Astyanax mexicanus: one gene and its partner. The protein of the gene in region 2 purifies or fractionates together with the protein of the main gene of each other region. This does not show direct contact. Links are inferred from orthologs where the notes say so. Each region holds a gene or a part of one and is shown on either strand. Other genes may lie near its edges.

Region 1 (7,606 bases), on a different chromosome or scaffold from region 2:
TAGCCTCTCCTATATAAACTAAAGAAGCACATTATATACCCAACATGTCTTGGTTGAATTGGTTGAATTCAATCTCAGATTTTTCACTGCACTGCTCCTTTAAAAAAAGTGTGAGATCATAGAAAGTTTCTCAGCTGGTTAGCGCTCCTGATGATGCTGCAAGTCATAAATTGTGGATATAAACTAAGTGAGGCTGAGAACTGTTATAGAGTCTACGATAGACGTTCCTGCAGTCTGAGTAATCTGTAATCTGGTGTGCAGCACAGCTGTTTTCTGGCAAACGCTGAGAAAAAGACAGACAGAGATGATGTCATCCTGCATTAAAGCTCCACTGCCTTTTATAGGAAAGCAAACTGTGTGTGTGTGTGTTTATGACTCATTCTTTGTGTGAATTAAAATTCCTCACTAGTGTGAGAGGAAGGCACTTACGTAAAGGTAAAATAAGCAGAGTATCTTTATCGCAGCCGCATCAGTGTGTGTGTTAGTACAGAGTGCTCTAAAACACACTGTGCTTCACTGCAGCGCGACAGTGTTTATGCTGACTTAGAGCAAACAAAAGAAAGCGTAACAGTATGACATTCTTCCGCATTAGTCTGAATCTGGTTTAATATAAAAACTTCAATCCAAAGATCATTGCTAACACACAACTGAAGAAACAGTCCTATACTTACTAGGGGTGTAAGAAAACACTGATATATTGTAGTATAACAATACTGTATCAATACTTAAAAACACAGCATTTACTTAAATAGTAAGTAGTAGTAATAAATACAATTACATTTAAAGATAATATACTTTTCTTTTACCCAGAATTTTTAATGTGTTGGTATTTACCAATTATGAAAGGTTTTCTAAAATAAAAACACAAACAAACAAACAGAACATATTGTTTTGCTTATGGTGTTGCAGTTTATCGTAAGCTTCTTTAAATTACAATGGAACATCAATGTTTTCTAACACTGAACTACCAATAGCAAAAAAATAAATAATAGCAATTTCTAACACTGAACTATCAATAGCAAAAACAAAAAATAAATATCCACATTTAGAGCCCATTGCTCAAATCAGATGTGGCTGTCTTGACGGTTCACATACACAAATATAAGTGAGCTGTATCTGTGTGTAATGTGAACGAATCTGTCCCTGAAATGCCTCACACGCGCACACTAATACATGTATAAACGACTCGTAGTTTTAAAAAAAGGGAAATGATGCTTTAGCAGTTCATATGTGGAGCATCTTTTGCTGGAGTGGAGAGTAAACAGCTGGTCTGAAGTTCATGCTCAGGTCGAGGAGGTGAAAAAAGGGCCAGGCGGTTTGCTTTTGCTGTTTTTGCAGCTATAGCTGCACCAAGAGATGTGTGGGTACCAGAGAGAAACACGTAGCGCATGCGTAAAAGAAAAAAAAGACACATGAATTTGACCGTTCACATTTATGTAGCATGTCCATGGTTCAGGTTAAGCAAGTTCGATTTAGCAACACATAAAGAAGTGGCTCAGATCTGAATAAAAAAAAATAAAAAAATCGCATTTGGCACGTGCACACAGCCTTAAAAAGAAAATCTGAGCCACATTGAGCAAAAAAATCTAATTTGAGTCACTTTAGCCTGGTTTTGTGAACATAGCCAATAATCCTGTTCATGATTTCAAAAAGGTAAAAGGAAAAACATTACTTGTACATAACTTTGATTAATTATGTAATAATTAATATTATTTAGACTTTTTTAAACTCTTTTTAACAAACCTAGCAATAATTACCTCTGTGTCACTTTTAGCAGATCACTGTAAGTCACTGATGTACATCACTCTGTCTTACAGGCACTACTTCACAACCCCACCATTAAAACCCAGCCTATGTTGACTAATCTAACCAAATTCACAGCCGTCATGACTTACTCATCAGAGCTAACGACGTAGCGTCTTACCTGCCTAGCTCCTCCCCCATCTCATAGAACTTCTCCACATCCTCCTGCCTGAAGCCAGCCATGACTCGCTGACCTTACCCACAGTCCACACTTGGGTCAACAAATCCTGTAACAGAGGAGATAACAGGACATCCTGAATATGTCTCTTTCTGTAGGCTAAACAGGTTCATCATAGGCTCATCATAGGCTCATTATGAGTGTCTAAACTGCTGTACACTAAATAAACATACAATCTGTAATATATCAGTACTGACTTGGCCAAAAAATCTCAAATATATTTCTCACCTAAAATGAATTTTAAACATTTTGAAAGGTCACGTTTTACTAGCTGAATAATATTTCTGCGTATTCTGCATTATATGTCTGAATAAAGCCAGACAGCATTAAATCATCATTTTGTTCTCATTGTGTGAATTTACAGATATAGTTGAATGCAAATAGATGTGACGGATTTACATTAATTAAACATTAAATTATTTTTTTTAAACCAAAACAATAATCAAACATTTTTTTTCTAATTTCCATTACTTTTTAAAAACATTCTTAAAAAAAAAAAAATAAAAACCATATAAAAACCTGTAAATGTCAACACTTTGAAACTACAACTAAAACTTAATTTTAATAAAAAAAAAATTAAAGGTGTTTTCTCAAGCCATTTAAATCACTGTTTTCTTATGGACATAGTTTGGCAAAACCTACAAAATTAAGAGAAATTATTAATAATCAGTGTTTTATGAACTCTTCATCTGCATTTATCACTATAATAAAAATATATACTCCCCTATTGCCCACCTTTAATAGTTTGACAAACATTTAACTTTCAAATGTTTCTTTCTTCTAAATAAGGAATATTCCTTTTAATAGTCCAGATATGGACAATAATAGCTTAAAGTATGAAATAAATAAGTTATACTCAGCCAAAATGAGCTTAACAGACCCTGACATGAGTCTTGGGGATCAGTAATGTGTTTAATGAGTGCAAATACCAATCCTGCTACATCATCATCATCATCATCTTCATCCAGAACAGACAAACGTGAGCTTTATCGCTTAAAAAATGACTGATATTTATATTTCATAACATGTTTATTGTCTCCAATTTCACTAATATTCTAATTAAGGTCAGATGTGAATTGGTAAAAGACTTTTTCTGTTAAACGAGGTTTATTTTGGAGTTTAAAAAGAATTGTCAGTTCCACCTTAAACGGTCCTGCAGTTAACATAGAACTGCTGCACTATTTAAGGTGGAACGGATAATTTGAAAAGAAGCAGAACTTCTTAACTACACAAATCATGTTAAACTAAACCCTAACACTGGTCGGCTCTCATACACAGTTACAGACACACAGAGAGGTAGAGAGATAATGCGGTTTAACTTCAGTTAAATATTCACTAAAACCCGCTGCCTTTTAACGCTGACTTTAGCTTCTTAGCTAACCTAGGTTAACTCCACATCTCAGAGCCTCCTGAGCCTTTAAACAAACCCGGGAATCCTTTATTTTACTCTCCACACTAACCTGTACTTAACATATAACTGTATAAACTTAATACATGTCTTCATCAGGGTTATTTAATCTGTTTAAAGCTTTACATGTGAATAAAATGTAAATACTGTACTCACAGACCGGACAGCTGCATTCCCCGCGGGCGGTGTTTCCGCTCCAGCGCCGCCCAGCGGCCGCGCTCGGGTATTAACGCCGCGGTGACGTCAGGAGTCGTGCTGCAATAAAAAAGCTTCGTCGTATAAACCTATACACAAACTCTACCCAGATAATTAGACATTTTCTAACATTTAAACACCACTTTAAAACACAATGTTATATCTTGTTATTTACCTGAAATTGTCAATATGTATAAAAGAGGATAAAAAATAAGCACCTTTTTTAATAATATAATAATAATAAACATTATTTATGTAGCACCTCAGTGCAGCTCAAAGTGCTTTACATAGAGAAAAAGAGAGTAAGAAATAGTTCACAAGCACAACATTATCCATAAGACTGATATAAAATATTGTTTATTTAGGTAACTACTAGAGTATTGTTTATTTATGTATGTATTATTTGGTCTTTTGGTAAATGACAGAGATAAATGTACCAATGCATATATCACACATTTTAGACTTTTAATGGCCAGGTTTTGTATGAATAAATGTAAATTCTCAGGCAAGACCCTTTTGTTGCTTTTGAAACAAGGATGAAACATTGTGTTAAACTCATGGACCCTTTAATACAAAAGTTATTAAAACTGTTACAACGTGTGTATTTTAAGATATTTATGTAACTGTGTATATCCCCCAAGCATTAGCAAAATGATTACTATATTAAGCATATTATTACGTGTATATTATGTTATTTGCATTTGATATTGTAGATATTGTAACAAATTCAGCTTAAGACCAATTTTTTGGTCATCCAAAAAAAAACATACCCTATGCTGGTAGGCTAGCTCGTTAAACAGCTCTTGACCAGCATGATGTGTTTTTTTTTTTTTGGGTGACCAGCTGGTCTTAAGCTGTATTTGTTAGCAGGTAGCATTTTTATCAAGGCTGTGTTTACTGTCAATCAAAAAGGTTCTTCATGTACAGACCCATGTCTGGCATATTGCAAATATTATACTTTTGTTGGGTAAATAATATATACTTAACAGCAGATTTTTTTTTTTTACAATTTTCCCAATGTTTATTTCTTCTTAATGGCCTAAGAAAAAAATCAAGAAATTTAAGAGAAAAAGTAATAGAATTCCTGGAAATAAGAAGGCCTCATGAATCGCAATCTTCTTTCTGCTATGATTTTATTGGTTTTATCCCTGTCATCCATATTTATTAAATATTGTAAAATTGCATTTTTACTCTTCTGTTTCTCATTATATTTATGTCCTTATTTGATTCAAGGAATATGGTAGTATGGTTCTATTTTTTAGTCTATTATGACTAGATAGGCCTATTCTCAGTTGCTGCATTTTGTACAGAGGAAATTAAAACTACAAATAAATTATTTAATACTGTTTTCAGTACACAAATGCAACATTATCTATAATCTACGTGTTATTATAATTATTTGTAGTCGTAATAGTAATTGCGGTGGAATATATTTACATTGAATATAATTCCTATTAGAATAAAAGACACCCACTTTCAACATATCACATTTCTGTATATTTTTAAAGTCAGGTTAGAGGGGCTGGTGTGCATGAAAAACTGAGGACAGGACACAAACATTTGGCACAAACTTCAGTTTACAGTGTAAGATTGAGCTTTAACTCTTAGTTATCAATAAATTATCCTTTTATAAAAGTGCACTATGCAAATTTATGTTTCTAAACCCCTAACATCTGTTTATTTACTGTAAATCAATCATTAAACTGAGATATCACTGTGTTAAAGAGCCCCGTTTCAGACTGACAGCTGCGTGAGCCACTCCCGTAGGTGCTGGCGCTGGGCAGGGATCGGACCAATAAGACGCCGCGGTTAGCTCGGGATCGGGATCTGTGGCCGTGCCTCAGTGCAGATGGAGGAAGAACAACAGTAAGACAGTATGAGATTAATGCGGAGCCTCATCTGGACAGCTCTGTTCATTAAACAGGTACTGACACCACACAGCACAGACACGTTCAGTCTACTGGTCAGTTACGCTGAAGGAAATATGTAGATAAGGACAAATAAACACAGATTCGCTTTAGTTTAGATGAAGGTTAGCTCATCCTGTTAACATGCTAACGCTAGGAGACAGGATGAAGCCTTCAGGCCCCGAAACCTTTAAACCTGATTTACAGCTTTATATATAATGTTTAGTTAATTATATTATGAAGGGCGAAAAGAGAATTAAGACTGTCTGATAAAATACTCTTAACACGGAGTTGAAGTTAGGGTTTTCCAGTTTTCCTTTCCACCTTAAATAATCCTCTGACTGCTGCACTATTTAAGGTGGAATGAAAAATTCGCACAGAAACAAAGAACTTTACCGTTTGTAAGTTTAGTGAATTATTTAGTTAACTAGTTTACTTACTGATTATGTATTATCCACTGTAAATTATTGAGCAAGTTTACATTTTAGTATCTGTTATAAATTGTTAAGGATCCACTGACTTATTCAGTGTTATTAATTGTGAAGTAAATTTGTTCAGCTAGCTGTGTTCTCGTCTGCAGGCTGTGGGAGAATATGGCATGGCTCATTTTAGTGAGTGGGGAAAGAGTAAAGGGAAGGATTACTGCATCTTCTTCAACTCTCAGTGGGCTCGGCTACCTCAGGACCTTAATAAAGCAGTAAGTTATTCAACTTCTCTACAAATACACATGCTTACCTTGCTGTAAACACAAACATAAACTAATTGCCAGCTAATTGCAGGAGTGGCTAAGTGGAATAGCAGTGTTAGCTTAGCATCTCCTGTTGTACATTAAAGTATCATACAGCAGATGCCAGTAGTCCTGCAGATATGATGTCCCAAAAAGATTGTGCTTAACAATAACATTTTCATTTTAAGACCATTTATGCCCTCATATAATAATCTTACACTAGTATTTGAATGCAGTTACACCCTTTCAAAGAGCAGTAAGCTTTTAATGAGTAAGAATATTAAGGCATAACAACGTGCCAAGGGTCTCTGAGGGGTCCAGCTGACTCCGGTGGGTACTAAGTGGGTAGCCTTACAAATTGGGGAGAAAATTGGAAAAAAATTGTATATATACAGTTCTGGAAAATAATAAAAAACAACTTAAAAATGAGAAGTTTCTTTAACTTTACCAAATTGAACACATCTGGAATATAATCAAGAGGAAGATGGATGATCTAATTGGCAATATTAAATGTTGTCCGAAGTTTATATATAAAAAAAACAATGTTCGTTTTACTCAATAATATACCTATAAATAAGAGAATCTGATTCAGAAACTGAGGTGCTCTCTTTATTTTTTCCAGAGATATACTGTATTATAAGCCACTCTATTAATGAATGTCTATTTCCTTGTATATTTTCTGGTGTATTTTTATACATAAGGCACACCAGATAACAAGGCACATTTTAAATGACAATAGTAAGGAATAAGGGTGTTACACAGTAATGTACACACATTGCTCTCATGAAAACTGTTAATTTGGGCGAGTAAAGTGCTTCAGTTTATTCACAGTAAGCTTAGATTTCCAATATTGTCAACAGAGTGTTAGCAGCAGCGCTAGCCACTGTTAGCAGGGTTTAGCGCTAGTAAATCATCAGCTAGTAAATCATCACCTGACTGGTAGAATTTGTTCATAATGCACACTGATGTTTGGAAGTGTGCCTTATAGTGTGAAAAATGTGGTAAAAACAAAGGACATCAGTAATGTTTATGGGCTCGTCGCACTAAGAAGCCCCAATGGGCAACATTGAGATCAACATAAATCATTAAGGTCATGTTCATATATTGTAAAAAATGTAATTATCATAATTATCATGAAAGACCAAGATGCCAGACATGTCTTGGCTAATTGACTATATCTGAGGGCAGGTCTTAATTTCCTGTACCTGTATTTATGATCTTAATCAGTGTATGGTGTGTATGTATATTATATATACTGATTTTCTGTGTGTTTGTTCAGTCTCGTCTGCTGGCGTATGACTTGACAGCTTCAGTGCTGTGTTCTGCCTCTGATGTGCCGGAAGGCGGCTTCCCAAATCGGATCCCCATGGTGCTGCGTGGGAATTGTA
Region 2 (8,526 bases):
GTCCTCCAGCAGACACTCTGGGTGTGTGAACACACTCAGTCACTGTGCCTCAGACAGACAGCTCACCATGACTATCTCAGGAACGCCATCACAATCAACACGTCATGAAGATTAGATGAAGATGATGTGCATTATAACATTTGATACTACAGGAAGCTTAGAAGGCACTTTATAACGCTCGACAATGTTAATATGATGTACATGCTCATTCTGACAGACTGTAATACACTACAGGAAGCATAGGGGGTGCTTTATAATGCCATTTTATGTTCATATGATCCACACGCTTATTACAACAGACTGTAATACACTAAAGGAAGCATAGAGGGTGCTCTATAATGCTCTGTAATATTCATATGATCCACATGCTCATTATAACAGACTGTAATACACTAAAGAAAGCATAGGGGGCGCTCTCTAATGCCATGTTATGTTAATATGATCCACACACTAATTCTGGCAGACGGTAATACACTACAGGAAACACTGGGAGCGCATTATAAGGCATTACAATGTTCATATGATCCACACGCTCATTATGACAGACTGTAATACACTAAAGGAAACACTGGGGGCGCTCTATAAGGCTTTACAATGTTCATATGATCCACATGCTCATTATGACAGACTGTAATACACTACATGGGGGATGCTCTATAATCCTGTACAGTTTTCATTTGATCCACTGTGACTATTAGATTTGATTCCTTTTTTTCCAATTTATGCTGAGAATGTACACATGTATAATGTTTAATTAATGTTCATAATTAGGCATAGCAACCACTTAGAACACCACAGTAACCACTTTCGCAACCAACAGCACAGAAATCAACTGAGAAAAACAAATAATCAGAACAGGAACTGTTGGATTGGTGCATCCCTACAACTCGGACACATCAGCTGACCTTCAGACTCTTCCATCCAGGTCACCAACCCTTATTTACTGACACTTCAGCGTGAGGGCCCTGACCTCAGACCTGTTTTGTCACTCAAACCTTAAAGAACCCAATTAACGTACAGCAGAGTTAGCACCCAGCATTCAGGCTGAGCTAGAACGTAGAAAAAGAAGAATGAAGGCTTAGCAAAAGCATTGGTTCTTTCATACAGAACCGAAAGCATTACCACCATATAAAGAACACTTTAAACTAGAAATACACCACTTAGGATTCCAAATAGTTCCAAACAGTCATTGTTCTATGCAGAACCAGTACTTATACTAACAAACACCACCGCATGTATTAGTCACTGGAATGTTCAAAAGGCACACAAAAATGGTTCTTCTGTGGAACTGTGACCCATTTTAGTGCAGATCTTTTTAAATGTATTGATTTATTGGCTAATGTAGAAATGCTGATACTAACACTAAGTACTAGATAAGTAGTTGTACTTCAGATTGATTTTGTAAAGGTTTTCATAACATTTAATCAAAAGGGGTTCTTTATATAAATCATATTAGGATTCTAGTTTCACAAACTTCGTGCATCACTGTATGTATATATACAGCTCCGGGAAAAAAATAAAGAGACCACTTTCTTTTCTAAAACAGTTTTTTAAATTTAGCTATTTATAGGTATATGTTCGAGTAAAATGAACACGATTGTTTTATTCTATAAACTACAGACAACATTTCTCCCAAATTCCAAATAAAAATATTTATTTGCATTTATTTGCTGAAATGAGAAATGGTCAAATTAAAGAAAAAGATGCAGAGCTTTCAGACCTCAAATAATGCAAAGAAAACAAGTTCATATTCATAAAGTTTTAAGAGTTCAGCGTTCAATATTTGGTGGAATAACCCTGGTTTTTAATCACAGTTTTCGTGCATCTTGGCACGTTCTCCTCCACCAGTCTTACACACTGCTTTTAGATAACTTTTACACCATTCCTGGTGCAAAAATTCAAGCAGTTCAGTTTGGTTTGATGGCTTGTGATCATCCCGCTTCCTCTTGATTACATTCCAGAGGTTTTCAATTTGGTAAAATCAAAGAAACTCATCATTTTAAAGTTGTCTCTTATTTTTTCCAGAGCTGTGTGATATGTTCTAAAGAGAACCATTTCTGTTGCTAAAAAGAATGAACACAATCCAAAAATTAAAGGCACCGAAATGCGATTGATGATACAGATTCCATAAAAGAATCATTCTTCACTCTCTTGAGATCATTTCAGTGTCTATAAAGCTGCTGGATGTCCTTTTTTAAACAGTGTAGAAGATCAGTTTACTGAGATGAGCGCGGTTCCTCTGAGATTTGTGCCAAAATTTGGGTCAGTGCTGCTTTCAACCCAAAACTGGGTCTGTCTTTAAACTCAGCACCAGCCTTCATACGCTGACTAGATGACTAGATGAACCTTCCACTCACACCAGAAGGTGTTTAATTACATCATGACAAGGCCTGTCATCACATCAGGCCAGAGGTGGACATCTCAAACCCTGCCTGTCAACACAGCTCGGGGTCAAGTCGAGATAGGAGCCGCGGCTCCTGGAGGCCCAGCCGGTGCTGCGGATCTGTGTCAGTGGAAAAAACATAATAAAACCTTGACTTCTCCCCTCAGGCCTCAGAAAACAGGTTTAGGTGAAGAATCCGAGGTGTGGAAGGAGTTGGCCGAACTCTCTCTCTCTCTGTCCTCCTGAAAGTACTTCCACTCCCAGCCTCAGGATCAGCCTCATTGTTCTCCAAGAAGGAGGGTGACTTTTCCTGTTCCAAAAAAAACTCAAATATTCCCAAGACAAACACCAAAACCCCCCTGTTGGTGTGAGGGTTTCACCCAGCCACCAGAAAAGTGGGTCAAAGCCTTGTTTTAAAGCTCGCAGGAGCTTCAAAATTGACACATTCAAATAAAACAACTAACCTAACCTATCTGCTGCTGGGTAAACTTCCAGACCTGAGTCTGAGTCTGCTGACGTTGGACATCTCCAGCTCCTGGATGTGAACAGACTGGGTCAAAAACAGGGTCTAACAGGGTTTCACTCACTTTAAAGCAGATTAAAACCACCAACAACGAGGTATAAACCACTAAGGTATAGAGATACGCAATGCTAGGTTCTGCCACAGCGGTAAAACATGGCAAAAACAGACCGACCCAGCAACGCTCCAGCCCCGGGAGAGGGAGCGGACGTTCTGCCCGGTTGTGGCCGAGAAAAGGAGGCTCTCGCTCGGCCAAGCCGGCTTCTGATACCTGCGCTCAAAAAAAACAACCACAACTTCGCTTTTCTGAAATGTTTTTCACACTTTTCTCACACTCACCTCGGCCTGCGGAGGAGCGGCGGTAAGTCCGAGCTAAAGCCGAGGTCCTGGCTGGCGTGGAAAGTTCTCAGCAGTGCGGTAATGTTTGCTGGATCTCTCGGTTTTTTTTCGCAGCAGAGGCAGCCCGCCGCCGCATTCCGCACGCTGGAGCTTTTTTCCCCCTTTTTTTCTCCAGAACACCCGTATTGAGGAAAGCCCCGCCCCTCCAACGCTGTGATTGGCTATGTCATGTTCATGCGTCACAAGGCGGGCCGTCGTTCAAGACAGGGCAAGGCTCTGGGCAAGAACGGAACGCGGCCGAGTCCCCGCCCCTCCTGCCACGCGATTGGCCAGTGCTGGACGCTCTCACGCGAAATCGCGATTCACAAGGGGCGTGGCTTCACGGAAAACAGGTGGGAAAAATACATATTGCGCATTCTTTCGAGGAGCAAACAATGAAAAAGGTAAGGGACTTTTATCTTCTAACTTTTTTAAAAACGCGTTTTTATATTTATTTTTTGTTATTTTTGTTTAGTTTAGTGTTTTATTATTTTATTTTAAATCTGCAATAATGCTGCAACTATTCAGGATGTTAATCTTTTGTCCTGCTGTGACTGGTTCAAAAGCATAAAAAAATCCAGCTTTGATTGGTCAGGATAGAATTCAACAGGCTGTGATAGGTTGAAATCTGAAAATGTTATACACACAAGCCTTAACTTACTGTAATCATTTGAGTCTTCATAAATGTATGGACACTTAAAATGTCAAGAAAAGCAAAACATTTTTATTAGCCCATTTAGCCAACAGGAGTAACCAACAAACAAAACCTTATCTCCACCTTTTTAGTCTACAGCAGTTTAGCCCCACCCATTTAGCCTACAGCATTGTATCTCCATTCATTCAGCCTATAGCAGTTTAGCCCCATCCAATCAACAAACTTCATCTCCACCTATTCATCCTACAGCAGTTTAGCCCCACCTAGTCATCCTACAGCAGCTTAGCCCCATCCAATCAACAAACAGAAGTTCATCTCCACCTATTTAGCCTACAGTTTGTTTTTGATTCATGAACTCAGACAGAGTGTAAGTGGATCTGAGGAAAATTGTGGGATATTGTCTCTTTTAGCGACTTTCTATGAATATAAACAGCAGCAGATGTGTCAAAATGTGCATTTAGTGTTGGAAAAGTGTAGACTTCAATAATCTGAGAATTGTTTAAGTGGTCTACCCATTCAGTTAAGTCATGTCCATCATCATCACTGTAAAGAATCTTAGGGTATATTTTTGTTTACTACATAGTATACAGTAAGATTTGCTGTGTATATATTGTGTTCTTTTAATTTTAGTCCTGTAGTCCTGTCATCACCACCTATACATGACAATTGATTGATTTGTAGAATTGCGTGCATCGGACGTCGGGGTGTTGTCAATTCGGCATCTTGCCTTTCCAGTTGTTGTGCTAAATTCTGCCTCCCTGCCATTCCAGACTGAGAACAGTCTTTAGGTTGGACCAATTTTTTTTTTTTACAAATATTTCACATCTTCTTTTACGCCAGCTATTTTGGTTTAGACCAATATGGAAAGTCTGAAGATCCAAGCAAGATACACTAATAGCTGAAAGGTGAAAGGTAAGGCAGACCACTGTCTGGAACAAATGACTAAAATTTGGTTAAACCAAATCAAACACCCCTGTGTGTGCAAATGTGTCAGTTAGCCGTATGACCTTGTGACTCCTGTATCTACTGTAACTGTAGATTAACTCTTATTAATAAACAGAAATAAATGGAATCTGAGGATAATCTGTTGCGTTTCTTCTGCTGCATGACATTTTTCACTCAAAGGGAGTTGGATTCTTGCACTGAGACAGAATTTGGCTGAGAACACCTGAGAACACTTATACAGGCAAATTGCCAAAGTAACAACAAGCCAACGTTGAAGGCACGCCCTTCTACAAACCAATCAATGTATACGTATATGATGATGACTGGATAAAGCTTTAAAAGTACACAATGTAACAAACCCATGAACCATGATTCAAACTCTGGTCTGCACTTTCAGATGTAAAAGCAAAACCCTTAGTTCTCCTACTCTGAATTTGAATCTAGGCCGTGGTTCCTTGGTGAAAGTGCTCAGCCCTGTTCTCTGGCAGACAGAAGAGGTTCTGACTCCCGCTCCGCATGTACTTATAAATACACACAAGACGTTTATATCCTCCGTAAACGCACACTCCTCAATTTTCTGTCCTAAGCGTTTAATCACGAGCGAAACGGTATGTAGTTGTGGTGGAGGAACGGAGGCCAAGTTCAGCCGGCCACTCCGCAGCCTCCTCTCTCACTGTGTGTTTAGCTCTGCAGCCGCGCTCCATCTCTCCACCCCATTACTGAAGCTCCGCATCTGACATTTTTAGAGCCTGATGTTAGTACTGTGCACTGATTAGCATGATGCTAACTGTAGAAATCTCAACTTTAACATTTATATATCCATTCAAGAGCCTTCTCCTATGCTTAGCTTATATTTTACTGTCATTAGAATAAATAAAAGGCCCATGATCACTCTGGAGGACCTGCAGAAATCCACAGCCCAGGTGGGAGAATCTGTTCACAGGACAACTATATCTGGCCTTTGTGGAAGAGTGACAAGTAAAAAAAAAAACATTGTTGAAAGAGAGACATAAAAAGTTATATTAGCAGTTTATCACAAGCAAGGCAAACATGTGGAAGAAGGTGCTGTGATCAGATAAGACCAAAGTTAAACTTTTTTTTGAAAATCTGTTGGAAGACTTGAGACTGGGAAGGAGATTTACTTTCCAGCAAGACAATGATTATAAACATACAGCCAGAGCTAAAGTGGACGAGTCAAAGTCCTGAAAGACCTAAATCCCATTGGGCTTCTGTGACAAGACATGAAAATTGCTGTTCCAACCTGGCTGAGCTTGAGTTGTTTTGCAAAGAAGAACGAGCAAAAATCTCAGTTTCTAGAGCTGCAAAACTTGTAGAGACAAACCATAAATGACTTGCAGCTGTAATTGCAGCAAAAGATGGCTCTACTAAGTTTTTGAAATAGAGGTTGAATACCATAAAATCCACTTTGTGTTTATATATATATATATATATATATATATATATATATATATATATATATATATATATATATATATATATATATATATTTATAAGTATATATATATAAGTATATATATATATATACTTTGCCTAATCTGTAAAGTGAATAAATGCAACTTTAAAAAAATGTAATACATGACTTTTAAAGTCCCTGTGTTTGAACACACAACTTAATGGATACCCTAGCATAGGAAGCAATATTAGCAATATGAGTGTTTTACTGAGCTAATAAACACTTACTGCCCACATAAGAAGCTTTTTCTTTACAGAAATTCCTACAGGTGCCAAAAACATTTGCACAATACTGTACATTTTCCTACACTTTATCTTCCATCCCTGTATTCAGTTAGAGCTCCCATTGTTCTTTAATATTTAAAGTTTTGTCGTGGAAATCAGTCATTCATTTTTATAAATCTGATGTATCTGTTCAAATAAATGTATAAAATGGGTTTCTCTATCAGATGGGTTTTTTGTGATACTCCAATATGTGATTTTTGTGAGATGTCTAATTTGTAGATATCTAAATAAGTCACTTAGGGGTAGAGCATATTTGTCCTTGTTGTAAAAAACATTTCAATACATTTCCATTTAACAATTAGTTGATTGTTCTACTAGACCTTGTGGGTTCTGAACATTAATGCCTCACTGCTCCAAGAACCTGGACTGACTTAATATGTCCAAATGTATGTAGACGTCCCTTCTAATGCAATCAGTTAAAATAGCTAAAATAGTTCCTGTAGAAGAGAAGTATTGGCAATAGAATAAGAGACGATTTAGAGCAGATTATAATGAAACTATGGGCACACTGACATGAATACACAACCCCCTAGCATCGAGCTGTGGAGTAGTGGAGTAATGTGTTCTCTGGAATGATGGTGCTTCATCCAATACTTTTGAGATGATTTCTCTGTAATTTTGTCTGTATAGTGTGGGCTGATTTTTCACTGAGTGATCACTGCTTTACATTGAGAGTATCTTATAATAGCAGAGTGGTGATCAGCAGCAGTGTGATGTTAAGTGTGCGCTTCTCTCTGAGGTGTGTGTGTGTGTTTGTGTTCAGCTCTGTAATGCAGGGGTTAAACTCTTCACTGGATAAAAGAACACACATTAAACTCAGAGCGCTTGAGTGCAGCAACGGCAGATGGAGATTACATAAAATACCCACACACACTGCAGAGCAGGACAGGAGAGCACTGCTGAACAGTGCTTGCACACACATACACACACACACACACACACACATGCTCATACGCACACATACAGGTGTGTGAACACCTGGCCAACTCTTACACATAGTACAAAAAAATTTAGGCAACACCTCTGCACCTTAGTTTAAAACAGCATTATATAACAATGGGGATTTCTTGCTCCTGGGCTCCCCCTATAGTTAAAATGTGTAATTTGCACTTTAAAAACTATAGCATTGGGGTAAATACACAGCAATCCTGGAAAAAAAAAACTGTTGGATTCTGCAAAAGACTTGAGTATGGAAAGGAGATTCGCCTTCCAGCAAGACAATGACCCTAAACATACAGCCAGAGCTACAGTGGAATGGTTTGGATCAAAGAATATTCAAGTCCTGACCTAAATCCCATTGAGCTTCTGTGGCAAGACATGGAAATTGCTGTTCACAGAAACTTTCCATCCGACCTAGATGGAACCAGTTAAAATGTGTAATTTCCCCAGTGTCACGTATGTGCTATAAATATGCTATAGAAAGCATTACCATCATCAGTGGACAGCACATGCAGTAGAAGGTAAAACGACGGTGACCGGCGGCATCTGGCTCAAGTTGTCCTTGAAATACAAATACACAAGAATATCTGAGAGAAATCACATCCATATTTATCCCATAGGTCAATTCAGCATTCTACAGCTTCCATGGGACATGCCAAAAGTCATGGGCGAGGCTACTAGTTCATTGTATTGGTCAGTGTATATTATGCACACACAGCAGCTAATAGTGATTTTTTAAGGGCGTTTTCACACCAGCACTATTTGGTCAGGATAAAACGGACTCTGGTTCATTTTATTTTACCCTTAGTAAGGTTTAAAACAGCATTAATGAAAACAACCGTACTGAGGACACATAGAGGAGGTGGTCTCATTCCGGTCCCAAACGAACTCTGGAGCAGTTCACTTGAGGTGAGAACATGATCCGGTCTCGATCCAACCCCAATATCA

The links.
Region 1: the proteins of luzp1 (region 2) and dapk3 purify together in Homo sapiens (affinity purification with mass spectrometry; 3 studies listed by BioGRID and IntAct, with this or other methods). This does not show direct contact. The link is inferred for Astyanax mexicanus from reciprocal best matches to the Homo sapiens genes LUZP1 and DAPK3.

Annotation. Positions count from the first base shown.
Region 1 is NC_064415.1:44,697,009-44,704,614, forward strand, and holds the start of dapk3 (death-associated protein kinase 3), read right to left. Parts: upstream 3,624-7,606; 5' UTR 3,546-3,623; intron 2,031-3,545; 5' UTR 1,987-2,030; coding exon 1,925-1,986; intron 1-1,924. Other genes in the region: sppl2 (signal peptide peptidase-like 2), read left to right, coding at 5,461-5,508, 6,072-6,188, 7,498-7,606. UniProt on the Homo sapiens protein: Serine/threonine kinase which is involved in the regulation of apoptosis, autophagy, transcription, translation and actin cytoskeleton reorganization. Involved in the regulation of smooth muscle contraction.
Region 2 is NC_064421.1:44,089,497-44,098,022, reverse strand, and holds the start of luzp1 (leucine zipper protein 1), read right to left. Parts: upstream 3,393-8,526; 5' UTR 3,243-3,392; intron 1-3,242.